4 linked regions of the Pelodiscus sinensis genome follow. The protein of the gene in region 4 interacts with the protein of the main gene of each other region in a biochemical or structural test. Links are inferred from orthologs where the notes say so. Each region holds a gene or a part of one and is shown on either strand. Other genes may lie near its edges.

The links.
Region 1: the proteins of NHERF2 (region 4) and PTH1R interact in a test that uses a peptide from one of them, tested with the Homo sapiens proteins (2 studies listed by BioGRID and IntAct, with this or other methods). The link is inferred for Pelodiscus sinensis from reciprocal best matches to the Homo sapiens genes NHERF2 and PTH1R.
Region 2: the proteins of NHERF2 (region 4) and SLC9A3 form a complex in vitro, tested with the Homo sapiens proteins (2 studies listed by BioGRID and IntAct, with this or other methods). The link is inferred for Pelodiscus sinensis from reciprocal best matches to the Homo sapiens genes NHERF2 and SLC9A3.
Region 3: the proteins of NHERF2 (region 4) and SGK1 form a complex in vitro, tested with the Homo sapiens proteins (2 studies listed by BioGRID, with this or other methods). The link is inferred for Pelodiscus sinensis from reciprocal best matches to the Homo sapiens genes NHERF2 and SGK1.

What each region holds. Positions count from the first base shown.
Region 1 is NC_134712.1:254,793,653-254,800,942, reverse strand, and holds the start of PTH1R (parathyroid hormone/parathyroid hormone-related peptide receptor), read right to left. Parts: upstream 3,016-7,290; 5' UTR 2,363-3,015; intron 1,177-2,362; 5' UTR 882-1,176; coding exon of another isoform or gene 860-881; coding exon 785-859; intron 1-784.
Region 2 is NC_134712.1:145,368,335-145,376,217, reverse strand, and holds the start of SLC9A3 (sodium/hydrogen exchanger 3), read left to right. Parts: upstream 1-4,864; 5' UTR 4,865-5,653; coding exon 5,654-5,855; intron 5,856-7,883. UniProt on the Homo sapiens protein: Plasma membrane Na(+)/H(+) antiporter. Exchanges intracellular H(+) ions for extracellular Na(+) in 1:1 stoichiometry, playing a key role in salt and fluid absorption and pH homeostasis.
Region 3 is NC_134713.1:95,699,776-95,707,274, forward strand, and holds the start of SGK1 (serine/threonine-protein kinase Sgk1), read right to left. Parts: upstream 3,006-7,499; 5' UTR 2,375-3,005; coding exon 2,299-2,374; intron 2,154-2,298; coding exon 2,078-2,153; intron 1,609-2,077; coding exon 1,533-1,608; intron 1,106-1,532; coding exon 1,001-1,105; intron 527-1,000; coding exon 443-526; intron 333-442; coding exon 201-332; intron 1-200. UniProt on the Homo sapiens protein: Serine/threonine-protein kinase which is involved in the regulation of a wide variety of ion channels, membrane transporters, cellular enzymes, transcription factors, neuronal excitability, cell growth, proliferation, survival, migration and apoptosis.
Region 4 is NC_134726.1:37,832,938-37,840,067, reverse strand, and holds the start of NHERF2 (Na(+)/H(+) exchange regulatory cofactor NHE-RF2), read right to left. Parts: upstream 3,020-7,130; 5' UTR 2,622-3,019; coding exon 2,412-2,621; intron 1-2,411.

The sequences.
Region 1 (7,290 bases), on a different chromosome or scaffold from region 4:
GCGCGTGGTGCTATATAGTGTCGGCCTCTAAGGTGCCCCAGGGCTGCGTGTGGTTTTGAAAGTTAAGGACTATCCCGGCAACTCCTCGGAGACTTGACGACATTTAGCCTCGTCCATAAGACTAAGCGGAGCGAGTCACCTTTGGTTGTACCACCTTGAGTCACAGTTTTGTTCCCCTCGGGAAGGCAGTTGGCTAAATAGAGATGAACTCTTCCTACAATAGCAGTCGTGCCGTACAAAATCACACTGGTTCACACACAGATGGCACACAGCCTTCGATGGCATAGGGCTAATACTACTCTAATTCCCCTGAGTGTAAACCATATGCCATCCATGCGCTGCTGGACTGCAAAGCAGATCCAGTACGCTACTGTACACAGACACTCATGGAGCGGAAAGCAGTTGTTTGCTGAAATTCAGCTTTCCCATGATTAAATTAAGATTCCCATTATCATCCGGAACAGCGGGCCCCACGCTTTGTCTCCATTCATAGGAGAGAGGGGCTGATCACAGAATTGTGTCCGAGAGCCGGCCGAAGTCATTTGGAAGTGGGTAAGAAGAATTCTCCCGAACGCTCAGTCATTTTCATTGCATCTCGCCTAGCAGCTTTCCGGCTCCCCCCGCCAGCTCTAGCTCCGCCAGCAAAAATCAAACATGCGTCTAAAAAAGCCAGCGCTTTGCCCGCTTCTAAATCCTGGTACAGTCAATTACTCATCCAGGAAACAGGCACAGCTAAAGGAAACAATTGCTCAAGAATGTGCAGGAGAAAAATTTAGCAACTTACCAGAGCATAGACAGAACTCAAGACGGAGCAGCAGAGGATCAAGCCCAGGTTGTGATAAACCAGATATGATCCCATAGCCAAGAGAGGTATCGCCCATCCACAATCTCCAGGGGAAGTAGACTGAGGGCGAAGGATCTTCCAGGGGTCCAGTTGTAGATGAGGTTTTCTTTCTTTTTTTTTTTCCTTCCCAGGTTTTTTTATTTGCTTGTTTGTTTCCACCGTTTTAGCCAGAGAGGCACATGACAAGAAGCCCCAGTGCTTCGCTTCCTCATGGCTGGAAATCCAGGCAGTTTCAGCAATGTGGGGAAAGCGTCCATGTGAAGGGAGCCCCAAACACCCGTCTCAGGCAGCGTAGCAGTTCCTGGTGCTGTTTGTTTTGTGTGTGCATCTGTCTCGGAGCAGAGAAATCACATCCATATGTCAAAACTGCTATTCTGCTTCCTTTTTATGAGGCAGTGGGAAGTTCAAATAATTTCTTTGTCAAACGCAAACACACACACACACTCACACATAGAGGTGGGGAGGGGAGGGGGAAGTTTTTAACCACTGCTTTATTTTTAGAGCTAGTAATTTTATCTTTTAGGCTGGGGGGAGGGTTTTTTAAACTTTTTTTAGGCAAGTAAACAAATCAGAAAGTCAGGGCTTTTTTTTTAAGCTAGAAATATTTTCACTGGGCAAGTACATTTATGCAAACAGGAGAGGTGCTGGGTATTTTGGCTTGTGTATTCCAGTGCAGCTCTGCTCCCCAAGAGGTTTATTCTGACAACCTTCCCTGGATGCCGTGTGTTTTAGTTACAAATACTATTTTTTAAATGTATTTTTTGCCTCTCTCTCTCTCTCTCTCTCTCTCTCAAAGGCTCTGCAGTTTCAAAAAGCCAATTGAGTAGAGGCTGGAAGCCTGAGCTAAAGAGCTGGGGTTTTTTTTCTTAAATAGTTTATTTTAGATGCTGCAGTAAAAACTCTTTTCACTGACTAGCTGACATTTTCCAAAATCGACGGGTTTCCATTTGTACAAACACACACACACATACACACACACAAGCTGCTTGTCCTGTCCTCCGGAATCAAATCACCAAAGCTCAGTCCAGTAAAAGTTGCTGGGGGATTTTTTTTTCTCTCTCTCCCTCTGACTGCTGCAGTTCCCTTTTAGACTCACCAAATGAACATGCGGAGTGTGGGTTTACTTCCCCACCGACCAGAGGAGATGAAAAGAGAAGCAAGCGGGGCATTTTTCATTTGGGGGAAAATCAACCAACCTCCAGACTCCTTTTCCTTCTATCTGAAGAAGTGGGTTGTTCCCAAGAAAGCTCATGCTACTAGCTATATTCTTGGTGAGTCTCTAAGTTGATCCAGCACTATTCCTTATGGGGTTTTCTTTGTTTATTTTTTTTTTAAGTTACAAACCCCTGAGATTTTTTTCGTCTATTGTTGACATCAAAACACATGGACCCTGCCGCTTCAAAACACACACAGACACACACACACACAATCCAAAGATGAGAACTTCCTTTTATTCTGTACTGAAAACCCCACCCCTCCATGCACCCCCAACCCCAACACCCACCCCCTGAAATTTACCAGCTTGTTAGTTTCAAGGCAGGAACGTTACTCCGCGCAGTCAGTCAGTTTCATTCATAAAGCGGCAAGAAAAGGCTCCGTCTCTTCTCTTAGAAAAAGCCTTGAGTTTTTTGGGGGGAGTGAAGACAGAGCACAACCCTCCAGTCCTAGTTTTTTTTTTTTTTTTTTTTTTTTTTTTTTTGCGGGGTGCGTGAAAGAATAAGGAACGAACGCCCCGGGGGTTATTTCTAGCTGGATGGGCGCATTTATTTTCTTGCAACTCGGAGGATCAAATGGTGTATTTTATTTTTTGTTTGTTTGTTTGGCTTTTGCAGCAGGTTTCTGTTAGCGGCTGTGATGGTTGCGAGGGGGGAGCCGCGAGAAAATAGCTAGCTAGCTCTTGGCGAGCCGGAGGGGGGGAGCGCATCGCATTTTCGCGGTGCGCTTCTTTTTATTTTTGGCGAGGGGTGGAAAAAAAGTCTCTACGGTTGCTTTGCCCTATTTTTTTTTTTTTTTTACAGCTCCCCTTGGCTGTGAATGAGAGCCTTCAGCGGCTGGTATGAAAAAGGGTCTCTTTCCCTGCAAAGGCAGAGCGGGGCTTCCTGTGAGCGAGCCGGAGGAATAATCCTGCTCTTGATCCGCTCCCTCGCTGCCGGCCGGAGTGGATCTCCGGGAATGTCTGCGGTTTTGGAGCACAGAGGCAGGTAGAAAAACCCCGCATGGGCAGAACCTCATTGGCTGGGAATCGGCACCATGTGACCCTCAGCCTGGGAAGCGCAGGGTTGGCTGTCCACACCCCCCCACGCCCCCCACCCCACCCCCTCGCAGCCTGGCCAGGAGCGCGCCGTGCGTCCTGCGGTGCCTTCGGGTGCGCATGGGAACCCCGAGGCTCCTGCTTAGGCAGAGCTTCCAGGGCTGAAATCCTGGGGGGGGGGGGGTAAATCTGGCTGGAGAATCAGATCATCTAGGAGAATCCCCCCCCCCCAGATCGCTGGTGTTTTGCAAAACTCTGGCACGGGGCAGGCGCGCAAAGGGGGTGGACTCGGAGGAGAGGGGCGGGGTTGGCTGGGAAAGCCGGGGCGGGGAGGTAGTTTGAAGCGGATTGGGTGTTGATGTTTTCCCAGTTGTGAGCTTTGGGCGAGGCCTGGAGAGGGCTCCCAGAGCTGGCCCAGAAGCCATCTCCTAAGCGGGGAGGAGAGAAAGACCCAACTCCCTGGGCGCTTGGAAAGCCAGCGGCAAAAGGCGCTTCACACGGGTCCTCAGGGCCGACTTATCCAGTAGGCACAGTGCCTAGGGCCCAGGATACTTTTAGGGGCCCACGAAAATGTTTGAATTTCTTTGCAAATCAGAAGGGGAAAAAAAAAAGAACTTTTAGGGTCGAAGAAAACGTTTTCATTTTTTTTCTCCCATCAGAAAAAAATGAAACTTTTAGGGCCCACGAAAATCTATTAAATTTTACCTAAAACAGAAAAAAAGGTTGAAGTATTTAAAGTTGTATCAAAAATAATTTTTAATATTGATATTATGGAGGAAGGGGCCCACGAAGGAAAAAGTGCCTAGGACCCACGAAGTCACAATGCGGCCCTGGGTCCTCCCTCTACCCCCCACTGGCTTTTGCCCCAGCTCGTGCGCAAAGTGCCCCTCCCGCCTCCCCAGGCTGTGCTATCCCTCCATTCCTGGAATGAATCATACAATCATAGAACACTAGAACTGGAAGGGATCTGGAGAGGTCAGTGAGTCCAGTCCCCTGCCCTCCCGGCAGGACCAAGCACCACCTAGACCAGTGTTCCCCAATTTTATTTGGCCACAGAACCAGAATTTTGCTGCACCCTATCTATGGAGCTGAAAAATGTTTAAGGACAAGAAATCACGCCACTGTGCTGAAGTAAAGTATTCGCCAGCGCACTGCCTACGCGCTCCCGTACGAGCAAGCGGCTTGGCAGCCGAAGCTTCGACTTTGTCCGACGCGGCGCTCGTGTATTCGTAATTCAGTCACCCACGTGACCCACGCTCCCGGAGAGTGAGTACGGGGATTTACGGGGGTATCTCACAGGCTGATTGACTGCGAGCACGGTGCTGAGTCATGACATCATCCCCGCTCTCGGGCTAAGTGGGCGTTACGCAGGGACACTGATCGTGGCAAACACACATGGAAATTGTTTTCAATACAATTCATAAATGCTTAAATATTAAATGTGGTTTAATCGTAAAATGTTCTTGTAATGGAATTTTCTCGCAGAACCCTTATTTCCAGTTTCCCTGGGGTTCCATTTGGGCGGAATACCCTTTGATCTAGTTCAGTGTTTCTCAATCTTTTTTTATAAAGTACCCCTTTTTCAAAAACAAAAATTATAAGTACCCCCAGTACCTACAGTTTTCAGACACACCATTTTTTTTTCTACCATTGCAGCACATTTGTTTAAACAACTTAATCGTAGCCAGGCAGGCGATGAAATTTTGGGGTGTAAAAAGTACACAAAGAATAAAACGCTGTAAAACTTAAAAATTCAGCTTTCTCCAACTTTCAGTTGTGTTGATGTACCCCCTGGACTTCTCTCGAGTACCCCAAAGGGTACTTGTACCACTGGTTGAGAAACACTGGCCTGTATCATCCCTGAAAAATATCTATCCAATCTACTCTTAAATATCTCTAGTGATGGAGAATCCACAACCCCCCTAGGCAATTTATTCCAGTGCTTCACCAGGACAGGAAATTTTTCCTAATGTCCAACCTAAACCTCCCTTGCTGCAATTTAAGCCCATTGCTTCTTGTCCTGCCCTCAGAGGTCCAGCAGAGCAATTCTTTTCCCTCCTCCTTGTGACACTGTTTTAGATTCTTGAAAAGCACGATCATATCCCTTCTCAGTCTTCTCTTTTCCAAACGAAACAAGCCCAGTTCCTTCAGCCTTCCCTCTTAGCTCATGCTTTTTAGGACCTTGAATCATTTTTGTTGCTCTTCTCTGGACCTGCTCCAATTTCTCCGCCTCTGTCTTGAAATGTGGCGAGATCAGAAATAGGGCAGGTTTTCAACAGCGCGGGGGAACAGCCATGGAGCCCTGACTCTCAGAAGCAAGGGATGGATTGCTCAATAATTTGTCCTCGTTCTGTTTGCTCTCTCTGAGGCATCTGGCTCTGTTGGAAGACGGACTTGGGGACTAGATGGGCTATTTGGCCTGACCCGGCATGGCCCTTCCTATGGAATAAAAGCCCCAGGGAAGCAATGGATTCCCCATCTCTCCGTGTTCTTGAATCGAATGAGGTGCTTTTCTAGAAGTTGTGCTTTAGCTTGACACAAGCTACTGGGCTCAGTGTATCAGCCAGGAGCTGAAATTCTGTGCTCAGGCCTCACAAGGGAGTGATGGGGAGGGGGGAAGCGGGCAACTGCAGGGCCAGCGATTCAAAAGGGGCCTGGAGCTTCCAGCCGTCGGAGTCCTGGGCCCTTTAAATCGCCACCGGAGTGCCGTGCGGTGTGCTCCGGGCAGCACTCAGGGCTGCCAGGGGAGGCCCCGCCCCTTCCCCCCAAGACTCCGCCCCTTCCAGGGGCAACTGAAAAAATGACTTCTGGTGTCCTGCTCACGGCCCTCCTGCGGATGCATCCCGGAATCATGTTGACTTTTTTTTACAACAGTGTCACACTGTTGACTCTTATTTAGCTTGTGGTCCACTCTGACCCCTAGATCCCTTTCAGCAGTGCTCCTTCCTAGGCAGTCGCTTACATAAGAACATAAGAACGGCCAGACTGGGTCAGACCAAAGGTCCATCTAGCCCAGTGTCCTGTCTGCTGACAGTGGCCAATACCAGGTGCCCCAGAGGGAGTGAACAGAAACAGGGAATCATCAAGTGATCCGTCTCCTGTCCTCCATTTCCAGACAAACAGAGGCTGGGGACACCATTCCTACCCATCCTGGCTAATAGCCATTGATGGACCTAACCTCCATGAATCTATCTAGCTCTTTTTTGAACTCTGTTAAAGTCCTAGTCTTCAGAACATCCTCTGGCAAGGAGTTCCACAGGTTGACTTTGCGCTGCATGAAGAAAAACTTCCTTTTGTCTGTTCTCCTAGCCTTGCAACAGCTCTGTGCTTGGGACTTTTTACTCTCGGGTGTGTTTGTTAGGCAGGGAAACCCCACATTGTGCATGTTTGTTGTGGCTGGATTATTAAAGCCAGATTTTGCCCCTCCCTTCCAGTAGCATAGCACAGGATCTATGTCACAGGTGCTTACCCCTTGGCACTGAACGTCCCTGGCCAGGGGGCCACCGGACTTGTTATACTGATCACTTGCTTAGTGCCCCTGGTGGTAGACCTGGTTCGGGGGAGTGAAAACAAATAAAGATCCTCCTGCTCTGACACTTTTGGGACGGGCTCTAGGCCTGTAAGGTGGGGATCCTCTAAAGCCATGGTGTCTAACATGCTAGCCACTAGCCACGTGTGGCTCTTAGGCCGGTGGATTGTGGCTAGTTGGCTATAGAAGCCTCCAGTGTAGTGGCTTCAAAACTGGTTGGACACCAACGTTCTAAGGTATTTAGGCACCGAAGTCTCACAACAGGGAATCATCACAATGGGACGAAGGCGCTTGTCTCCCTTGAAGGATCTGGCCTAAGATCTCTGGGGCAAGGAGTGTGTGTGTGTGTGTGTGTGTGTGTGTGTGTGTGTGTGTTGCACCAATCACAGCGGGACCCTGATCCCCAGTCAAATCCAAAATACACTCATGGGGTTTTAGACACATCCTAAAGGAGAGCCTGGAATCATGCAGGACTCTTAGCCCCTTTTTACCCATGAGGATCAGTGCCACAAAAGACTGTTGGCTCCTAATCCCCTTGGAAATCCACAGGAGCCTAAATACCTTGGAAGATCGGGGCCTATGTGACTTCTCCAGGTTACAGAGGAAGAGTCAGGCAGAGTAGGGATGTCTGTGGTCTGCAGCCCTAGCTTGCTGGTTCTGTGCCCG
Region 2 (7,883 bases), on a different chromosome or scaffold from region 4:
TATCCCAGAGGACACTACTGCCAACCTGATAGCAGACCTATGTAACTTTGTTCTCACCCACAATTATTTCCAGTTTGAGAACAACTTATACCTCCAGATCAGCGGCACAGCCATGGGTACACGCATGGCCCCACAGTATGCTAACATCTTTATGGCTGACCTAGAACAACGTTTCCTCAACTCCCGTCCCCTTTCACCCCTCCTCTACCTACGGTACATCGATGACATCTTTATGATCTGGACACATGGCCAAGAAACACTGGAGATATTCCACAGAGATTTCAACAACCTACACCCCACCATCAACCTCAGCCTGGACCATTCTACACGAGAGATCCACTTCCTGGACACCACCGTACAAATCAACAATGGAAAATTAGACACCACTCTCTACAGAAAACCCACCGACTCATACAGTTACCTACATGCATCCAGCTCCCATCCAGAACACACCACACGATCCATCGTCTATAGCCAAGCCCTTCGATACAACCGCATCTGCTCTAACCCCACTGACAGAGACCAGAAGCTTCAGGATCTCTACCAAGCATTTATAAATCTCAACTACCCACCCAGAGAAATAAAAAAGCAAATTGAAAGAGCCAGACGAATACCTAGAAACCATCTACTTCAAGACAGACCCAAGAAAACCAACAATAGAACACCACTTGTCATCACCTACAACCCCCAACTAAAACCTGTCCAACACATTATCAATAAACTACAGCCTATATTGGAACAGGATACCATACTCAAAGAGGCTCTGGGAGACAGACCCATAGTCTCATATAGACAACCACCTAACCTCAAGATGATTCTTACCAACCACCACAGGACATACCACACTAATACCAACCCTGGTACCTTCCCTTGCAACAAAACCCGTTGCCAGCTTTGTCCACATATTCATTCTGCTGATACCATTATTGGACCTAACCAAGTAAGTTATAAGATCAAGAACACATATTCCTGCGCATCCAGAAATATAATCTATGCTATCATGTGCCGAAAGTGTCCGTCTGCTATGTACATTGGACAAACATCTCAGACACTTCGCCAAAGGATTAATGCCCACAAAACAGATATCAGACAAGATCACAAAGAGAAAACAGTTTCTTGCCACTTTAACCAGAAAGGACACTCTCTAAATGACTTAGCCACCTGCATTCTGCTACAAAGACCTCTTACATCTGCACTTGAAAGGGAATCCTCTGAACTGTCATTCATGTTAAAATTCGACACTTATCACCAAGGACTTAACAAGACTTTGAACTTTCTCACCCATTACCAAGACAGTTTCCCCAATTATCACCTGTAATACCATTAACTCACAAACATCCCACTCTCCCTACCTTTAATATCAGCAATTCACAGACACTTACCTTCCTTCCTCCCCCTTCCCACCCCCCCGCATCCCCCTTCTGTTCTGCAATGTGATTTGTCCTTTTCATATTTGTTCATTTTTTTTAATTGTATCCTTTGGTATATATGGTTGTGACTACTTTCTTCCACTATTTGATCTGAGGAAGTGGGTCTGGCCCACGAAAGCTCATCATCTAATAAACCATCTTGTTAGTCTTTAAAGTGCTACATTGTCCTGCATTTTGCTTCAACTACCCCAGACTAACACGGCTACATTTCTATCACTATTCTACATGCAAGGCACTACATTTAGCCGTTTGGAATGGAAATCCATCAACCATATGAAGAAACTCGCACAGATACAGACAGACATCATCTTTCTATCCAAGTGCAAGAAAATGGACATCGTACCCAAAGGACTGAAAGTGAACAATCCACTAAGATCAACATACTTCACTGACTACAGTGAAAGACTCTGCCTCACACTATCCAAGAAATTAAGAAACCACCTGATAAGTATTTTATACAAGAAACAGAAAACCATCAAGAATGACATTTCTAACTTAGATCGTCTCATCTCAAGACAAACATCCACACCGACTGACACCTTGCAAGACTTTTGTTCCACCAGACAAGAAATCTACTATACACACTTCTATTCCCTACAACAAAGAAAAGACAATAAATTTTCTAACCTGCTCCATACCACTGGCTACAACAGCAACTGCCTCAACCCACCGGATAATATTGTTAACCTCTCCAGCTACAAACTCAATCCAGCAGAAGAGTCTGTCTTGTCCCGGGGTCTCTCTTTCTGCCCCACATCCCCCACAAACTGGATACAATTTTGTGGTGACCTTGAGGCTTTTTTTCGCCGCCTCCGTCTCCGAGAATATTTCCAAACCACCACTGAACATCAATCTGACCTACCAGATCCCCCCTACCAACACCAAAGGAAAAATAATTCTATATGGACTCCCCCTGACGGTCGGAATTACAATCTGGATTTCTATATACACAGCTTCCGCAACAACGCACAGACTGACATTATTCGCAAACGACAACAAGCGACACACAATCTTAGCCGCGCTGAACACCATGCCATCCAGAGTCTCAAAAACAACCTGGACATTGTAATCAAACCAGCTGACAAAGGGGGTGCTGTGGTCATTATGAATAAGGCCGACTATTACCAGGAGGCAACCAGACAACTCTCGAACACCACATTTTACAAACCTCTCCCCTCTGACCCCACCTTGGACTACCAAAAGAAACTACACTGTCTCCTTAAAAGCCTCCCCACAGCTACTCGGGAACAAATCCTCACAGAATCACCTTCTGACCCCCGACCAGGATTGTTCTATCTACTTCCCAAGATCCATAAACCTGGGCACCCCGGACGTCCCATCATCTCTGGTATTGGCACGCTCACTACTGGTCTATCCAGCTATGTAGACACTCTTCTCAAACCCTTCGTAACCAATACCCCCAGCTATCTCCGAGACACTACTGACTTCCTAAGGAAACTACAAAACATCGATAACCTCCCCAATAATACCATCCTTGCCACCATGGATGTAGAAGCTCTATATACCAACATCCCACATGAAGACGGATTACAAGCAATTAGAAACACTATCCCAGAGGACACTACTGCCAACCTGATAGCAGACCTATGTAACTTTGTTCTCACCCACAATTATTTCCAGTTTGAGAACAACTTATACCTCCAGATCAGCGGCACAGCCATGGGTACACGCATGGCCCCACAGTATGCTAACATCTTTATGGCTGACCTAGAACAACGTTTCCTCAACTCCCGTCCCCTTTCACCCCTCCTCTACCTACGGTACATCGATGACATCTTTATGATCTGGACACATGGCCAAGAAACACTGGAGATATTCCACAGAGATTTCAACAACCTACACCCCACCATCAACCTCAGCCTGGACCATTCTACACGAGAGATCCACTTCCTGGACACCACCGTACAAATCAACAATGGAAAATTAGACACCACTCTCTACAGAAAACCCACCGACTCATACAGTTACCTACATGCATCCAGCTCCCATCCAGAACACACCACACGATCCATCGTCTATAGCCAAGCCCTTCGATACAACCGCATCTGCTCTAACCCCACTGACAGAGACCAGAAGCTTCAGGATCTCTACCAAGCATTTATAAATCTCAACTACCCACCCAGAGAAATAAAAAAGCAAATTGAAAGAGCCAGACGAATACCTAGAAACCATCTACTTCAAGACAGACCCAAGAAAACCAACAATAGAACACCACTTGTCATCACCTACAACCCCCAACTAAAACCTGTCCAACACATTATCAATAAACTACAGCCTATATTGGAACAGGATACCATACTCAAAGAGGCTCTGGGAGACAGACCCATAGTCTCATATAGACAACCACCTAACCTCAAGATGATTCTTACCAACCACCACAGGACATACCACACTAATACCAACCCTGGTACCTTCCCTTGCAACAAAACCCGTTGCCAGCTTTGTCCACATATTCATTCTGCTGATACCATTATTGGACCTAACCAAGTAAGTTATAAGATCAAGAACACATATTCCTGCGCATCCAGAAATATAATCTATGCTATCATGTGCCGAAAGTGTCCGTCTGCTATGTACATTGGACAAACATCTCAGACACTTCGCCAAAGGATTAATGCCCACAAAACAGATATCAGACAAGATCACAAAGAGAAAACAGTTTCTTGCCACTTTAACCAGAAAGGACACTCTCTAAATGACTTAGCCACCTGCATTCTGCTACAAAGACCTTTTACATCTGCACTTGAAAGGGAATCCTCTGAACTGTCATTCATGTTAAAATTCGACACTTATCACCAAGGACTTAACAAGACTTTGAACTTTCTCACCCATTACCAAGACAGTTTCCCCAATTATCACCTGTAATACCATTAACTCACAAACATCCCACTCTCCCTACCTTTAATATCAGCAATTCACAGACACTTACCTTCCTTCCTCCCCCTTCCCACCCCCCCGCATCCCCCTTCTGTTCTGCAATGTGATTTGTCCTTTTCATATTTGTTCATTTTTTTTAATTGTATCCTTTGGTATATATGGTTGTGACTACTTTCTTCCACTATTTGATCTGAGGAAGTGGGTCTGGCCCACGAAAGCTCATCATCTAATAAACCATCTTGTTAGTCTTTAAAGTGCTACATTGTCCTTCTTATCTCATGGGCATTTCCCGCTGCGGTGTGACAGTTGTGAGCGCAGAGCACAGACCTGCAGCACTCTCATTCGCCACGGGAAGGGACTGGCCGTGTTTTCCCACCCCCCCCCCCCCTTGTTCCCGAGCAGGCGCCCCAAATACTTCAGTCGCTTCCCGGTGCCTGCGGAAGGCAGGGCGGCGCTGCTGGGAGGGAGCGCGGGGAGGGGCGCCGAGGTGAAGTTGCTTGGCACATGCTGCTTTGGTTGCAATCGCTGGGAGCGCGGCGCGCTGGCTCGCCTGGCTCCGACTGCCCAGCCCAGTACGCACAGTGCGAGCCCTGCCGGGCGCGCTGGGGAGGGGATCCAGCAAAGGTTATCTGAGGGGTGACCCCCAAAGGGCTTCACGATGTAATCATAAAAAAGAACAGGCAAGGGGAGGTGAAAACAACCCAAGCCCGGGCGGGATCTACCGGCAGCCCGGCCTGCGTGCGCTGCGCCCCAGCGCGCCTCTGGGGCCCAGCCGGTTCTGCCCCTAGACGGGGGGGGGGGATCCCCTGAAAGCGAAGCCAAGCCCCCTCCCCGGCAGGCTGTGTGCAGGGGGGAGGAGGCTGCGAGGACAGAGATTGGCCCGTGGGGAGCGATCCGCCCCGTGCTCTTGGGAGGGCTCGGTGATGCCCCAGAGCGGGGGCTGCCCGGCCTCTTGCATCCCCTGCTCCCCCCGCTGCCCAGCCCCAGCCGTGCCCGCTTGTGCTCGGCGCTGCCCGGGGAGTGGCTGGGCGCAGAGTCCCGGCGCGACGGGGACCCCGGCCCGCGCCGCTTCCTCCTGTCGGGCTCAGCCGCCTGCAGCCTCCGCGGGCGCGGCGCGGGAGAGAGCAGCGTAGCCCCGCCTCTGCCGGCCCGGGAACAGCCCCATAAAGGCAGCTGCCGGCGGGCAGCGGGACGGAGCCGCAGCATCTGCCCGTGCGCAGCGCGTGTCCAGAGCCCTGCCGGCTTGCAGAGGGGAGGCGGCAGCCGGCCCGGGGCGGGGGGATCACAGAGCGCCTGGCCCGGCCAGCCGAGGGTGCGCGGTGCAGATGAGCTGGGAGATGGGACAGGTGCCCCTGGCCGAGGGGCTTCTGGCTCTTCCCACAGTCCTGGCCCAGGAGAAGAGCTCGGGAGAGCATACAGCTGGCAGCGGACCCCACTCCTTTCAGATCGTCTCTTTCAAATGGCATCATGTGCAGGAGCCTTATATCATTGCTCTCTGGATATTGGTGGCCAGTCTGGCCAAAATCGGTGAGTCCGGAGCTCTGCGGACATCTGCGCTCTCTGAGCTCCCCAATTTAAGTAACAGAGGCTCGTTATCGCCTGCATTGGTCCCTTTTCAATACACAGGGGGTGCTGTGTGTCTATTTGCTTTGCCACCTTGCTTTCTGAACAGGGTCATCCACAGCGTTCAGCAGTGGGGTTTGGGCTAGACCAGGGGATTACTAGGTCATTCTCAGCAGCTAGGACCATAGCGTTTGTATCTGATGGTTGGTTCATGAACGCAGTCTTCTTCCATTGGTCCCGGGATAACTAAGCCAAGTAGGAAATAGGAAATCGAATTTGGTTATCTATAAAATGACAACCCTACCTTAGGGTATATCTTCCACCTCCGATAACTGGCAACGATGTTATATAACGAACTTTACATAAATATTGCAAACCTGGGTATTTGGAGTGCTAGTAACTTCTGCTCTTGGACTTCAGTGTTGTATTACCTGGAGGAGAATGCAAAAGTGCAGCTCTTTAACCTATGTGGAATATGGGTCAGTTTGTATGTTTTGGTTAATTACAAGCTATTGTTTTCTGATCCATGTGACTTTTCTAAAAGTGTAACCTCTTGTCCATATTATTATCACTAATGCCTAAGTGATTTTAAGTATGTTTGCTGGTGAATGACTGGTTAGCTGAAACTTATTTAGTACCTTAGTTCTGTTTGTCCAAAATTCCTCAAAATAGATCTCCAAGTTGTGCTGTAATCTTAAATATCTTACAGTGATGATTCATGTCCCAAACCACACTGAATGTAAGGGCCATTGGCTAGTTGAAGGCCCATTGCATTTTACAGATAAATTTCCTTGTGTGAAGGTGCAAACTGCATTCAAATCCAAACAAAACTGTTTCCATTAATTTTTTTTTAAATGAATGCAGGATATGAATGCCAGTTTCAGTGTCACTTTTTAATACAGACCTAAGTTGGGAGCTTCATCTACCTGACAGTGTGTATGTAAACTGAAGAGCTCTGTGAGAATAAAGTTATGAAACATATCAAGAAAATGTGTCTGGATGGTGTAATTGCCCAAAGAACAAGATACCTACATTATCTATAAAATGTAAAAGTTTTGATCTAGTTGACTTTTATTGACAAGCTGTGTCAATTTGAAGAGACATAAAACTGCACAGTGACTGTTATTCAGGAGTCTTAAGTACTTTTTGACTCTGGAGAAACAAAATCAGTGATGGGAGAAAGGGGTGTAAGCAAAAGAGGAACTACACTGGCTGCAGATAAATTCAGAAATTATAGAAATGCACTCATTGCCAGTTTGAGCCTCTTTTTTGGTGAGGAGGGTGTACTCAACTAGTAACATATTTTAGGGTTGTTGAAGTTATGATCTGGTTTCTGTGTATATGTACCACTGCTCTCTACTGAATGGAATCAGTGCTGTACAACTCTATCTTCTAAATCTAAGCTCTATTCCTCTAATAGCTAGTGAGGATTCTCCTTTAGCATAGTGGTAAAAGCACTTTTGTTACACTCTCATTTTCAGGCAGAGGCAAACAATTCAGGATCTGCATCGGGCTCTCTTTTTAAAAAAATTTTTGGAGCTCTCTTCACTGCTACACTGATTCAGGCTCATTGCTGGTGTCCAGTGATCCCAGATGTTTCCCTTGCCTCTCTGCCCGAATTTGTAACTGTTTCACTTGAGGTGGTCTCTGAAGAGGCTCTGAACAACAACTGTGTACTATAAAGCACTAGTAGCATATCTAGTGCAGGTTTGGCTGCTACCAACAGCCGCCAATCAGATGAGTGAAATGCGGAAGTGACCACTGCTGATTGGTGCAGACAGACTCAAGGTGTCTGTTCTGGCTCAGAAGGGAGTCGAATAAAAAGGATTAGTTTTTGTTTGTTTGTTTTCAGAGACAGGGTGAGTGAGGTAATATCTTTCATTGGCCCAATTGTTGCTGATGAGCTCTTCTTGAGGTCTGGGAAAGGCACTCAGAGTGTGACACCTGAATACAAGTTGGAACAGATTATTTTAGAGTAAGTAGTTAGCACCT
Region 3 (7,499 bases), on a different chromosome or scaffold from region 4:
ATTAGACTTGACATATATAGCTAAGAAGAACAATAGCAGGAAATGGCCTAATGATCCTCTAGCATTTGAAACCTGGCAGGCTGAAGATGCTAACTCTAATAACTTTTCCCCTTGGAACTTTGTTTTTAATTTAAAAAGAAGACAGATCTACAAAACCACTGTGCACATATTAGGAATTATTTCATTCGCTTGCTGCTTACCTCTCCACCATTGATGTAGTCAAGGACAAAGTACAATTTATCTGCAGTCTGGAAAGAAAAGTGGAGCCCAACCAGGAAAGGGTGTTTCACGTTTTTCAGCAGGACATTGCGCTCTGACATTATGTGTTTCTCCTAAAAATAGAAAAAAAACCAATATTTAGTTACAAAAAGCTTGCTAACTTGTAGTAATAAACTAAACTTGGTAATTTGCATTGCTATATTGTGAAAAAGGAGATACTTACCTCCTTCTTTTTCAGGATTGCTTTCTTCTGCAGTACTTTAACAGCATAGAATTCTTCTTCTGCTTTATGCCTTGCAAGGAGAACCTGAAAGCAGTTGAAAATCCCATTACTTAAATGTACTGGAATACAGAGCAGCATATAAACACAGCTGGGAGAAAGGGTTTTGGATATCGTCTATGCTACCGCTGAGCACTATTACCACTGTATATTACCAGCTGCATTTCGAAGCATTTTGATAGCAATGCCTAGCATTATCAACAAAATGCCAGCAGAGAGGCTTTTTAAAAAGGCTGATTCTCCTGGTTTCCAGGACCTACCCTACTACCTCTCCTGCATAAAAGATCAATCCCAGTGAGTTTTCCTTGCAACTCCTTCTCCTTAACTAAAACACCTTGCCCCACCTATCCACTGCAGGGCAAGCAACTTCCTCCTCAAAGCTGTGAAGTATCAGTGAATCATTGGAGAACAGAGATTTTCCCACTAAAGCAAGCTGGCTATATAACCTCAGCCCTTAAACAAGTGCATCACCAAATTAAGGTGGAAAGAAGTAGGACTTACCTTCCCAAAACTTCCTTTTCCAATAACCTTTAAGAAATGAAAGTCTGATGGCTTGGCGTGTGGGTTGGATGACGGGCCAAGATTAATTTGCTGTGAAGGGCTGGGCTATAATTAAAAACAAACAAATGACGCTTAAAAGATGTTTATTTGAAATGGACCACAAAGGGTTATTATACGAATCTATTCATGGATTTAGAGATCATTTTACTTGGTTATATTAAACCAAATCTATGTCCCCTTTCACCAAAATTAGCATGAGATTCTTGTACAACCTCAAATTAAAATTTTAAGTAAGATTAGGGATTTCCCTACTTAAAAGACATGTAATATAGCCTTCTTTAAATCATTGACTTTTTCCATACAAAATAGGTATGAATTTTATTCTAAACTGGTAACTCCTTTTTGAAGTTACATCACTGCCCTGTGAGCTGAACTAAAAGGGACATTCTTGTCAAGTTGCTAATTTACAGAATAGCTATTTTAAAACATGTTTCTATTAGTGGAAATGATTCACATAATGAAGACTACTTACTGGAGGGGAAGGATTAGCATTCATAAGTTCAGGCTCTTCAGGCTGGGAGATCTTCAAAATAGACTGAACTTCAGGGCTGGAAAAGATTAGAGAGTACATTATTAGAACAGTTGCCCTGTACAACAGGCAGTAACATGTCACCTCTAGAGGGCATGCAAGCAGTCTACTTATTAAGTTTCAGTTTGGCAGGCAACTAGGGACAGTCTATTACATTTCAGAACTAAAATGAAACAGGAAAAAAAAAAGAACTAACTGTGCAGTTTCTTGTTCTGTAGTTAAACACTTGCTTGTTCTGTAGTTAAATGTCATGGATAGGATGGGTATCAAACTAACCTGTGCTCTCTGGTTTTATTTATGCTAACTAAACTCAGTAAAAACTTAAATATATGCTAACAAACTCAGTAAAGTGTGTTATATAACTAATAATATTGTGAAAAAATTAATTCAGTTCTGACAATCATTAATAACCTAATACCTAAATATTTCAATCATAAAAATGTAAGGCTCGATTTTCAGATCGATACACATAAAATTGCGCTACTTACTGCTTGCACGGGTAGGAGTTGGTGGCTATTTTTTGAATGAAGTCATTTAGCCCCATTCGTCTCTGTTTCATGAAAGCTGCAAATAAAAAGAAAAGCGTTACGACAGGACATCCAAAACGTGGGTTGTTGGTTTTTTTAAGTGAATCGGACATGAGTCCATCCAAAATATCCGTAGCCCCCCAAAGAGCCATGGTCACTCTGCCTTTCTTCTTCAAACTCACCGATGAGTATGGCAACAACTCCCCTCATCTTGGAATACGTTAATGTGGGTCCAGATGCTTCGGCTTTGACAGTCATAGCTGAGCTACAGTGTGGGTCAGGGAGCAATAATCCAGGCTGATGAATGAGTTAGTCCAGGGGAACGCAAGCGGCTCTGGCTGCAGCCGGCTATCAGTGCGATTATGCTAAACACCAGCTCGCTGGAGCGGTTTATATAGAGACCTCGCCTGAGGGAGGGCGGGGAGGAGAGGAGAGGGAGGGAGGGACCAACGAGGAACAACTATGCGGAAGAGTAAGTCCGGCTAGCCAGGCGCCCAGAACTGCTTTGCCTCCTCCCGCTGGCGCCCGCTCCTTGGCGCGGCCCCGCCCTGCCTGGCTCTGACGTTCGCAAGAGCCGGGGAAGTAGCCTGCCGGCAGGAAGGAGAGCGCTCTGCAGCAGGGCTTAGGACGCGGCGGCGGCATGGCTAGGCGGTGCGTTGCAATACGAGGAACCGCTGAGCTCAGCCGCAGAGGGCCGGGGCCCACTTCCAACCCACTCCGCACAGGCATAAAGAGCATGCACCGCGCTTGGCTAGACTCGACAGCTGCCCTGTCCCGTTTCTCCTGCATTTTGCTTCCCTTCCCATGAGGCTTTGACTTGTTGCAAGCCTGCAAGTCAGTTTCGGGAGGGATACCCTTGCAAAACGGTTTTGCTCCCCCTTTTCTGTGACACCCCCCCCCCCCCCAAGCATGCACGCTAGCTAGCTCTCTGGCAGTGAGAGAGGAGCTCTCGAGGGAGAAAATGTGACGCCCCCTGCCTGGCCCTTTCTCCCCCCTCTCTTCAAAAAATTCAGAAGGGAACCGTTGGTGGGGTCAGCTGATGCCTGTGGCTCACGTGTATTGCACTGAGCCCAATGCATTTCCACAGGGGGAGGCAAAGAAATGTTCATTAACTAAGGATCATCCCTGTTAGCCGCTTGCAAATGTTGGCACCTCATCGCTCCAAGCAAACAACTTCAAAGGGGGACCTTTGCCTCGGTGGCTGGAGATCAGTCAGCTGGTGTCATTCTGTGGCGCTCGGGTCACAATCCGGTTAAGGGGGAGAGAGAGCCACATGGATGCACCGCTCAGGTCACTAACCCCCCCGTCCCAACCCAAGTTACACCACCACATTGAAAGGAAAAAGGATCGGAGCTTCTTACCCAGCCTAAGCAGAAACTCGCTTTCCCCGGCGCAGCCAACTCCTGCAGCCTGCCCTGGTTTTCCCTGGAGAAGGGGATTGTGTAAGGGCTTGCTTTGCTCTTGTGCGGAGGGGAATGTCTTTCTAAAATGACCCCCAGAGCCTTGGTTCTCCAGCGTCAGCAGCAGCTTCAGCTGCCTCCTGGGGCGAAAGGCGATAAGAAACTCCGACGTTTCCTTGAAGGAGCCGCAATGACTCAGGAGAACAAGTTTTCCTGCCCAGCTTTCAGTAGAACAAATGCCCTGGTGTGCATTGCCCGGATCCCGGCCGGGACGTTACAGAAAACGCTTTTTGAATGCTTTGGGCCGACGAGCCAAAAAAGCAGCACCTAGGACTTGCCAGAGGAGGAAGGAGAGGGAGGGGGGTCAGGGGGTGTAGAGCTCATGGAAGTACCCATCTAGTTTGTGTTTGCAAAAGAACAACCCCCCAGCTGAGATTTCAACCACCTTTGCGAACAGCCTGGGCGTCATTACTTGTTGCCTTGCAGTGGCCCTGGGCAGCACGTGGGTTTGTTTATGAATAAAGGCTCTGCCGGGGGACGGCTGGGGTGAGGGTGGCACGAAGGTTAGTGGGTGCCCCTGGGAGGGCAACAGTCTACAAGGGGGGGAGCATGTGTTGGAACGAGGGCTGGGTTTCAGCGTTAGCTGCGGCGGCCACATTCCTATTCACTTCACTCACTGCAACTTCGAAGAAGTCTCCTAACTTGTGATGTGTCCCTACCCGCTATACCGCGTAGAGTTGAGCTGCAACGTGGCCATGAATTTTGCTGCCCTCCTTTGTGCATCTTGCCTCACTCCACATCCCCCTTGGCCGGCATGCCCCTACAGCTCATGTCTCTAACTTGTACTCCCCAAAAGAGAGCACCCCAGCACAGGGGGAGAGAGATGCAGTTCACTGCTGCTCTCAGACTGCAATTCGGTTTAAAGAGAGTGTGCACAGGTAATGGTAATGGCCTGGGGTGGGAAATTGCGCCATGCATACGCGGAAAGTAGTTCAAAGACAACACACTGCTGGTAAGTTTAAGGCAGAGACTGAAGGGGCTGCTGCCGGCCGGCCGGCTCCACTGCCTCACGTGGCTGAGATCCGGGAACCTTACACAGAGTCTCCTAGCGTGCAAAGGAGCGAGAGGAAACCGGCACGCCAAGGCGCAGTTAGTTTGGGGCAGCTGTTCCGATCCTCTGCTTTCTTCCACTTGTTGCTTTGTCTGTACGGGGTGCAAAATCGGCTTGTCTGATCCGAGCAAGGCACCGACGCCAATTCCAATCGTCTGCTAAACGCGCCGGGGGAGCTGGCCAGCTCGCCCCGCTCCCTGCGTGCTCCCGCGCAAGAACCGCTTAGCACCCAACTCGCGTGCCGGAGCCGAGGCTACGCGCCCCCACCAAGCTCTGCAGGCTGCCACCGGCCCTGGGCTCTGTGCTGCAGAAATGTCCCCCTCCCGCCACATGCCATTGCTGCATTACGCAGCGCCCTCTTCTCAGCAGCCCTTTCCCTGTGCTCGCTCCCCACCCCTACAGCGCCCACACAAGCTGCGATCCCCTCGTTTCCTGTGACACGCAGTGCTCGGCCAGGGTCTTGTCAACCCGGCGCTGGCTGCAGCGCAGCTCGCTTGCGCCTTCCCCCTGTTCCCGCTTGGCTGCAGCAGCCGCTCGCTTGCAACACCCCGCTGTCACCATGGCTCTGTGAAAGCCTGTTGCCCTGCAGACTCTCCACACCGCTCGGGAGGCGCACCACCCTTCTATGACCCTGCCACAATGTTAATTGCTAAATGGGGTGCCCCCTCTCTGTCCCTCTGGGGGCACCCCCGTACCGTATAGGTGCTGGAACTAGGAGTGTGTGTGTGTGTTGCAACATCTCCTGGCTTGGTTTGCATTATATACAGAGTCTCCAGTTGGGTTGAAAAGCTCTCAGGAACCCCATTATCAAAATTGTTCCAACTCCCTGCCCTTCTCCCCGGCAGGTACCAAACGCCCCTGCTCCAGACACCTCCCCCCGCCAGTCCTGCTAAAGAACAACAAAGCTGGAACTGCAGCCTCGGTTCAGTGACTGTTGCCCCCCTTTCCCCACCGGTTTGCAGGTCTCCTTCCTCTTTTGGAGAAAAGGTAATTAAAGTCCCTATCAAATGTCAAGTGCTCAGCCTCCTCCGCTCTCCAATCAGGAGGGTCATTCCGCATCGTTACCACTAAGGGTTTCTCAGAGCCTCAAACAAGCCAGAGCGAGACTGTAACAATTGCAAAATAAACCAACCTTTTAATGAAGGCTTCTCTTCTTTGCCTCTCATCTCTCTCGCTCCCTCTTAAAAATCCTACACAGTAGTTTTGAAACGGGGCTCTGACGCCCTGGCTGGGTTATGTATCGCTATAAACCCGAATAACACCCTCTCCGTGGCCGGCCAGAGCTGGAGGGAAGTGGTGAGTAAAGAAAGTAGCGGCTGAGTCGGCTTGCTGCCCGCTTTATGCACCCCATATACAAGGTGATTTACATACAGATCAGTGGAGTTCAACATTGGTCACGCCAGGCACACTCTGCCCCGTTGCAACATAGCCCTGGGAGTTACTGTAATCACCACTTTATTACACACCAGTGCCTGCGTCTGCAACTGAAATGCGGGTCTGCTGGAATTGAGCTGCTGCACAGAGCGCATGGAGAGCCCTCCCGCAGCACACACAGGCCGCAGGCCCGAGGGGCTGCTCTGCCCTCCGCACTTGGCCTGGTTGGCTCCCTGTCAAAGCGTAAAGACGAGGAGTCGCCGCCGTGGTAGCTGTCGGGACGGAAAAGGAACAGGGGCCAGGCTGCTTTGGGTGGGTGGTTTTCCCTCTCCCCTCCCCCGCCCTTCACTTCCATCCTCTCTCTGAGACAGATGGGCTCCTGCGCTTACGGTGTAAAAGGACAGAGGGGTTCTGGAGACGGGTGTGCCCTGCCCACCGGATAGCGACCGGGTGGAACAGGCGCCCCCTGTCCAATCCTGGCATCGAACTACTTCCGAACAGGAAACAGACAGAGATATATCGGGCTCCCCTTCTCTGCCGCCCGGTTGCAGCACACTGAGGTGTCTTTTCCGCTCCCCCTGCGCACACAATAGGCACATGTCTGTGCGCAGAGCCGCAGGCGTCTGGCTGGGTGTTCTTCCGCACAATTGCATCCGCTGCGCCTTTGGCACGTGTCCCGTAGGTGGCGATCGTGCTTTCTTCCGTGGAAGAAGAACAACCAGCACCAAGGGGCGGGGGGAAGGGGGTTGCTTTTTAAGAACTGCTGCCATCCTTCCCCTGTGGTCATCCATACGTGGCAGCCTTTCAAACTGGGAAGCTGTGCCCCTGAAGGCCGCAGGAAAAGATCACATTTTTGCTTTGTTACTCCTTATTTAGTGGATCGTTTTCACTGAGGAGTCATTGAAGGCTTAGAGAGCTGTCATGCACTGAACTTTCCATTGTCTCTTCAATTTTGGCTTTATCCCAAGGGAAAATAACCCAGAGAGAAGTAAAATGAACAGATTGCCTCTCCCGACTGCTCAGATGGCATAGTGATAGGTGCAATAATACATGACAGACAGGTCCCTATATTTAGTTTCCCACACAATTAATCCTTTCCTTGTTTTTAAAAGATCTTTCTAATCTAATTCCTACACCTATTTTAAAACATTTCCATAATAAAAGTCTTGACTTTTATGTAGGAATATGCACAAAAACCTATGGGAGAGGAATTATTGTTTTTTTTTATATAATTTGCACATCTTTCCCAAACCCAAGCAATCAAAAATCCGGACCCTGGGCCTTACAAAATCTCAAGATTGGTTTAGGAATCAAGAGATTTTGTTTCTTATAATAACTGTACCTTTCCTTTCCATTCTGGTTTTTGAGCCTTAGGGTATGTCTGCACTGCAAAGAAAAATTCATGGCTGGCCCATGCCAGCTGACATGGGCTCCCAGGGCCCAGGCTGTAGAGCTGTTTTATTGCTATGTAAATTTCCAGGCTTGGGCTGCATCTTGA
Region 4 (7,130 bases):
TTATGCTCAGACCCCTAGAATCCTAAGAATGGAAGGGACCTCAAGTGGACATCTAGTCCAGTCCCCTGCACTCAAGGCTGGAGTGTTATCTAGACAGGTTTCTGTCTAACGCTCTTAAAAATCTCCAGTGATGGAGATTCCACGGCCTCCCTGAGCAATTTATTCCAGTGCTTCACCACCCTGACACTCAGGAAGCTTTTAGTGTCCAACCTAAATCTTCCTTGCTGCAATTTAAGCCCACTGCTTCTTGCCCTGTCCTCAGAAGCTACTTTCTGCTGGAACGTGTGCCCTGACAACGCAATGGCTGACTACGTAACAGCAACGTCCTGCCAATGTCATCGCATCCTTTGGTCTTTCCTACCTGGCCAATGCAGACAAGGCCAACCACTGTCATTGTTGAAAGTTATCTGGTGCCGCAGCATGGTAAGACAACATCCCTGCATGGGGAAGGCCTGGAATAGTGCGGGAACCTATTTATAGTGCGGGAACCTGTAGTATCTACCGCTGCTTCCTTGCCAAAGGGAAGCTTTTAAACAAACATTCACAGAGAGGATCACCCTGCTAGCTCTCTTTCACCTTTCGTACGCTCTCGCCACCAACACCACCAGAGGAGCCGGGAATCCTGGCAGCAGGGCAAATGAAGGCTGTTTCGGGCATACGTAAATAGTTCTGCTCGGCTACAGCCAACAAGCTGAAAAAGCACTCCATGTGCGGACACAAGAAGCGACTCAGCAGGCTTAGCGTGCTGGTTCCTGCCCCAACAAGGATCTTATTCCCCATAAACTGCTTGTCTCCCAGCGGATTACCCTGCTGGCCTGGAGGTTCAGGAACCATCACCCAAAAAGAGACGCACACTTTCCATCACGCTGGTTTCACTTGGACACGCGCCTGGAGAATCCAGCAGAGAAGCAGCTCAGGGGAAGCGACTCAGTCGGATTGTGAGTGCACGCAGCTTTGGCGACCAAACTGAACGCGGACAGATCCCCGGAAGGAAAATAGCACACGGTGGCCCAATGGGGAGCGGCTGGCGGGGGGGCTCTACAGAACGTGGGGTTTTATGGATGAACAAAAAGGGCTTCTTGCCAGCCTGGACACAGCAATAGGAAATACACTGTAGAGAGCATCCTGCCCTGGCCAGGCTGGGCTTGATGCGACTTGCTAGGACTTTCCTGACTCTCACCTCTCGGAATATAAAACCAAAGAAGTGGGCACAAGCACAGCAGGGAGCATGTGAAGCCCAGGAATTAGAGGAAACAAGTGAATGACCCAAGCCGAGGGCACCTCTTTCCACTGGCAGGAGACACGGACACAGCAGATGACAAGGTTTTCCATGTCACTCTGGTTTCCCTGCTCTCAACCTCCAGATGAAACCCGCTAGCCAACAACCGGACTGCCCACCCCAGGATGGACTGTCACCTGGCGGGACTTCTTCTAGCTCTAGAGTCAGACTGTAGGGATGTTAAATGCCGGTTAATTTAACAGTCAATTCAACTCATGAATTCTTATCGGTTACTCCGTTATTCTATAGTCCTTGGGGATGGGGCTGGCAGCCAGCACGCTCCAGCCCCACTCCCAAGGAGCCCCCCCGTCACATGCCAGACAGGGGCTTGTCCGTGAGGGGAGCCAGTTTATGAGGCTGGTCCACGAGGGGAGCACCCTGTCCAGAGGGAGGGCTGAGCTCCCAGACCCGGCACGAGCTGGAACTGAGCCGGGCTGCCTGTCCACCTGGCTCCTACTACACTTTAAATGCAGAGCTGCAGCGGGGGTAGGTCCCGGACCTGGCATGAGCCAGGCTGCTGGCCAGCCTGCTAAAAACTGTACTGGTGGGGGTGGAGGGGAGAATGCGGGTAGTCGATAGCATTGACCTAGAAGCTTTTGCTTATTGGTTAATCAGTTAATCGACTGCACTATTACATCCTTATCAGACTGACCTTCCATCCAGACAGCCCCCTTCTCCAGCGCTCAACTGGGCACAGATAGACAGACTAAGGACACCTTCTGTCCCAGCACAGACAGACGGACGACGGTTCCAGGGTGCCACCTCTCCACTAGCATGGGCTGACTGTTCCTGGGCGCCCGCTGCCCCAGTGCCCACAGACAGACAGACATTCCCCGGGCAACTCCCCAGTGCAGACAGACAGCCCCCGGGCCCCCCAGCTCCAACACAGGCAGACAGACAAACCGGCCCCTGGCACCCTACTCCCCAGCGCTCATGGACGGACAGACAGACATTCCCGGGCGCACACACCTCCACCCCAGTACAGACAGACAAACCGTCCCCCGGCGCCTTATGCCCCATCGCCCACGTACAGACAGACAGACGGTCCCCAGCACACCCCCTCCTGCCCCAGTACAGACTGACCGACCCTCCCCGGGCCCCCCCGCCCGGCCCCCCCGGCAGCCCTGCCCACCTGGTGGTGCGTCTCCTTCTCCACGTTGACCCCGTTCACCTCCACCACCCGGTCCCCAGCGCGCAGCGCCGCCGCCTCGGCCGGGGAGCCGGGCTCCACTTTGCGGATGAACTGGCCGCTCTTGCCCTTCTCGCCGTGCAGGTGGAAGCCGTAGCCGCTCTCCCCCTTGAGCATGTGGCACAGCCGGGGCTTCAGCTGGTCCTTGGCCATGGCTGGGGCCCTGCCGGGGCGAGCGCCCCTCGGGGAACCTGGGTGCCCGGCGCGCAGCGGCCGGAGGCGCCGGGCAGCGGGGTCCCGGCTGGATCAACAAGTGGCGGCAGCTGCCGGGCGCGCCCCCTGCCTGCGCTTCTCCCGGGGCGCCTGGAGAGCCGGGCCCCTTACGCGCAGCGCAGCGTAGAGACAGGAGCCGGGCTGCTGCTGCTGCCGCCGCCAAGCGGGGCCATCCTGCGTCCTGTGCGCCCTGCGCTGCGCCAAACTCCCCCCGTGCGCTCTGCGCCGCGGCGCACCCCCTCGCTGCAGCCCCGCCGCTGCCTGCCTGCCTGCTCCGGCCCGTGCCCGCCGCCGCTACTGGGGCTGCAGCGCCTCCTCCGCGCGGCTCTCCGTGACATTGCAGCCGGGGGAAGAGCTTGGAGGCCAGCTGTGGCCATTGCCCCTCCCCCGAATGCAACCCGGAACCTTCCAGAGCTGGCTGCTGCGGGAATGGGTGTGTGTCTCCTGATTATACACTCGCCCCCGAACAACATAACCCAGCCACAGCCCAGCACATGCAGCTGGCATTGGTGCTATTCCCCCTTCCTTCCCCCCCACACACACACGCATTGTGTAGGACATCTAGGAAGGTCTCACCCCAGGGCGTGTAACATGGAGGCAAGATATGGCCAGGGCCCGGCTGGTCACTGCGTCTTTGAAAGCCACTTTGTGGGGGATGGTTCCTTGCAGCCCTTTGCCAGGCATAGATGTGCCATCCAGAACCGGTTAAACCAGTCCAAGCGGGACGCCCAAATGCACGCCCAGGGAGGAAATCGAACATACGGGCAAGCACAGCGCAGTGAGTTCCCAGTGCAAAGAATGGGAGCACAAGTCCTCACACTGGTGGTAAATAAGAAAATAAAATAATGGGTTTGTAGGGTGATTCCCCATGGACGTTAGTGGGGGTGGTTGAATCAGGCCTTAAAAAAATCCTTTTGGCCAGATACTAAGAGGATCTCTTGGCCCCGGCTCATTTATTTGTCTTGTCACTGAGGTAGGACAGCTGACCTTATAGCACGCTGACGTCCTCTAAACATCTATTAATTTGAGGGCAGTTACCGCCCAATCACCTTGGAGGAACATAAGAACGGCCGTACTGGGTCAGACCAAAGGTCCATCTAGCGCAGTAGCCTGTCTGCTGACAGTGGCCAGCACCAGGTGCCCCAGAGAGGGTGGACCAAAGACAATGATCAGCGATTTGTCTTCTGCCATCCCTCTCCAGCCTCTGACAAACAGAGGCCAAGGACACCATTTTATCCCCTGGCTAATAGCCTTTTATGGACCTAACCTCCATGAATTTATCCAGCTTCTCTTTAAACTCTATTATAGTCCTAGCCTTCACCGCCTTCTCTGGCAAGGAGTTCCACAGGTTGACTACATGCTGTGTGAAGAACTTTCTTTTTATTACTTTTAAACCTGCTCCCCATTAACTTCATTTGGTGTCCTCTAGTTCTTCTATTTAGGGAACTAATAAATAACTTTTCTTTATCGGCCCTCTCCACACCACCCAGGAAGAGGCCTGGGATATCACACTGATGGGGTGTAGCAGGGGAAAGGTAGAGCGATGCCTAGAGGGGGGGAAGTTTCTCTCTAGGAATACATTACATTAGTATTCTGGCTCAAGGCTGCCAATGCAGATCCCTTATCTCACTTCAGATCTTGTGGTAACTTTCCAAGGAAATAATGTGGCAACGAATCGCATTCTGCTCAGCCCTGCGGTAGGTGCGTAATGGCCTGAGGTCAGGGGTGGGCAAGACAGCCTCTGCGGGCCAGATCCAGCCAGCCTCCATGGGCCAGATCCAGCCCGCCAAGCTGGTTGATCCGGTCGGCAGCCGCCCTGCCGCTCCCAGGCCAATGGAAACCCGGGGACAGGGGAGTACGTGAAATCTCCTTCCCCCGCCAGACGCACACAGCCCCAGAGGGAACCACTAGCTGGCCAAAACAGTTCCCTCTAGGCACCGTGTGCCCCTGGCAGGGTGGGGGCAGGAGGCGAGAGACTTCCCATGCTCCCATGCACCTAAGCCCTGATTGGCCTGGGGGCGAGGGAGCATGCAAAGTCTCCCTCCACCCACAGCACCTAGTGTGAACGACCAGCTGTTCAGCTGGCAGTTTTCTCTAGGCACCGAGTGGAAAGGGGGGGGATGACTTCCCAGGCCAATCAAGGTCTGTGGGCAGGGGAACCTGGGAAGTCTGGCCCCGCCCCTTCCACCTGAGGCCCCGCCCCTTCCAGGATGACCCACAACCACTTCAGAAATTTGTGAAGTGCCCCCCCCCTTCAAAAATTATTACCCGCCGCTGCCTTTGGCGAGGTTACCTGTTGCCAGCCGAAAGGAAACAAGGGCAGCTGGTTTCAGTTCCCAAGCCCAGGGATCAGCCCGTCATTGGTCTTTGTGGGAGAATTTTAAGCTGTGAAATGCATCAGACCTCTGGCAGTATGCCAGCTTGCCATCAGACCTGGCTGCTCTGTAATTAGCAGCAGCTATGCAAAACAACAGGTCTCTGCCTGCTTGCACAAAGCCATCGGGTGATGTGGAAGGAGGCCAGAGAGAGTCATAAGAACGGCCACCCTGGGTCTGTCCAAAGGTCCATCCAGCCCAGGCTCCTGATTTCCAGCAGTGGCCAAGGCCAGGTGTCCCAGAGGGAATGAACAGAACAGGGAATCATCACGTGATCCCTCCCCTATCGCCTATTCTCAGCTTCTGACAAAGAGACTTGGGACACCATTCCTGCCCATCCTGGCTAATAGCCATTGACGGACCTAACCTCCATGAACGTATCTAGCTCTATTTTGAACCCTCTTGTAGTCTTGGCCTTCACAACATCCTGTGGCAAGGAGTTCCACCGGTTGACTGTGCCTTGTGTGAAGAAATACTTTCTTTTCTTTGTTTTGCTGCCTATTAATTTTATTTGGTGAATCCTAGTTCCTGTGTAACAAGAAGGAGTGAATACACTTCCTTAGTTACTTTCTCCACACCAGTCACAATTTTATAGACCTCAGTCATATCCCCCTTAGATAGCTCTTTTCCAAGCTGAAAAGTCCCAATCTTATTAATCTCTCCTCAGACGGAAGCCGTTCCATACGCCCCAATCATTTTTGTTGCCCTTTTCTGAAGCTTCTCCAATTCCAATATATCTTTCTTTGAGATGAGGCAACCACATCTGTGTGGGGTATTCAAAATGTGGGGGCTCCTCCATTTGCTGTGTCACATGAGGGCTTCCCTGAGCCTCCCTCGGGCTTGATGATGTGTTGTCATCCAACAACCTGGCTAATACCAGAGCCACAGATTTTGAAACACACCTGCCAGTATGTAATCTTAACCCAGGTCGGGACGTCTCCTAGGAGTACACGTGCAGGAACCTGCCCTGTTTCTAGGCCGCTCCCCTTCCTTGTTTCTACATCAGGGATGACCTTGCCCAAAACACGAGGTACCTTCTTGCAGATCTCGCTTTACTGTTGGCTGCTGGTCCAGGCTGGGTGCAGGTAGCACAGGGAGGAAGAATTTCTTGTGAATTGAGGACTTGGGTCAGGCCCCAATTCAGGAAACTACTTGTTCATGTGCCTAACTCGATCCATATCTGCATGGCTCCACTGACTTCATTCGCTTAAGTTAAGCATCTGCCTAAATAACTTGCTAGATTAGGGCTGACCATTCCTTCCTCCTTTGCATTTAGGAATGGCCCAAGTGCTCACCTGTTCCCTGGCTGCCCCTTTTCTTCTGCCCTGGTAAACTCTCACCTGCAGGGGAGGATTCTACAGCCCACGAGGATTGTTGGGAACACAGGTTTGGTACAGCCTGCGCTGTGATGGGCGGGAAAGGTTCCCATCTTTCTCGAGGAGCTGGAAAAAAGCCTGAAAACATTCCTGCATCCATGACCATCTTAACACCGCATGGAAAGAATTACCTCCCCTCGCAAGCAGCTCTTGCAAAGTGCTTAGCGGTAATACAGGTTGAACCTCTCTAGTCCGGCACCCGGAGGACCTGACCGGTGCCAAACCAGAGAATTTGCTGGACTATGGGAGGTCAGTATTGTCTAGCAGCATTACCTACACTTCCCCTGCTTACTAGGGATGTGAAAGTGTAATCACATGCATCTGGCTCCTAGGAAGCTGCCTCCCCCCTCCGCCCACTGCATCTGTATCAGAGGCAGCAGCATGGCAGGACAGGTGGGAGCTAGTATGCCTGGAGAGCTGGCTTAAAAGTTAGCTCCCCACACACACCGGCTCCCGGGAAGCTGACCGCCACCCTGCATGTAACTGCTGGAATTTTCTGTGGTATCACGATGACTTATACACATTTTGACATCCCTTCTGCTTGCTGGGCTCTTAGAAGACATTTTGGGCTCAATTAGAACTAAAGACCAGCACAGGACACTGAGAGCCAGGATTGGTGGCAGGAAACAAACTTTATGGGACTGTGGGAAACTTGGCCACATCCACAGTAAGTGGACATCCGGCTCACTAAAACCATG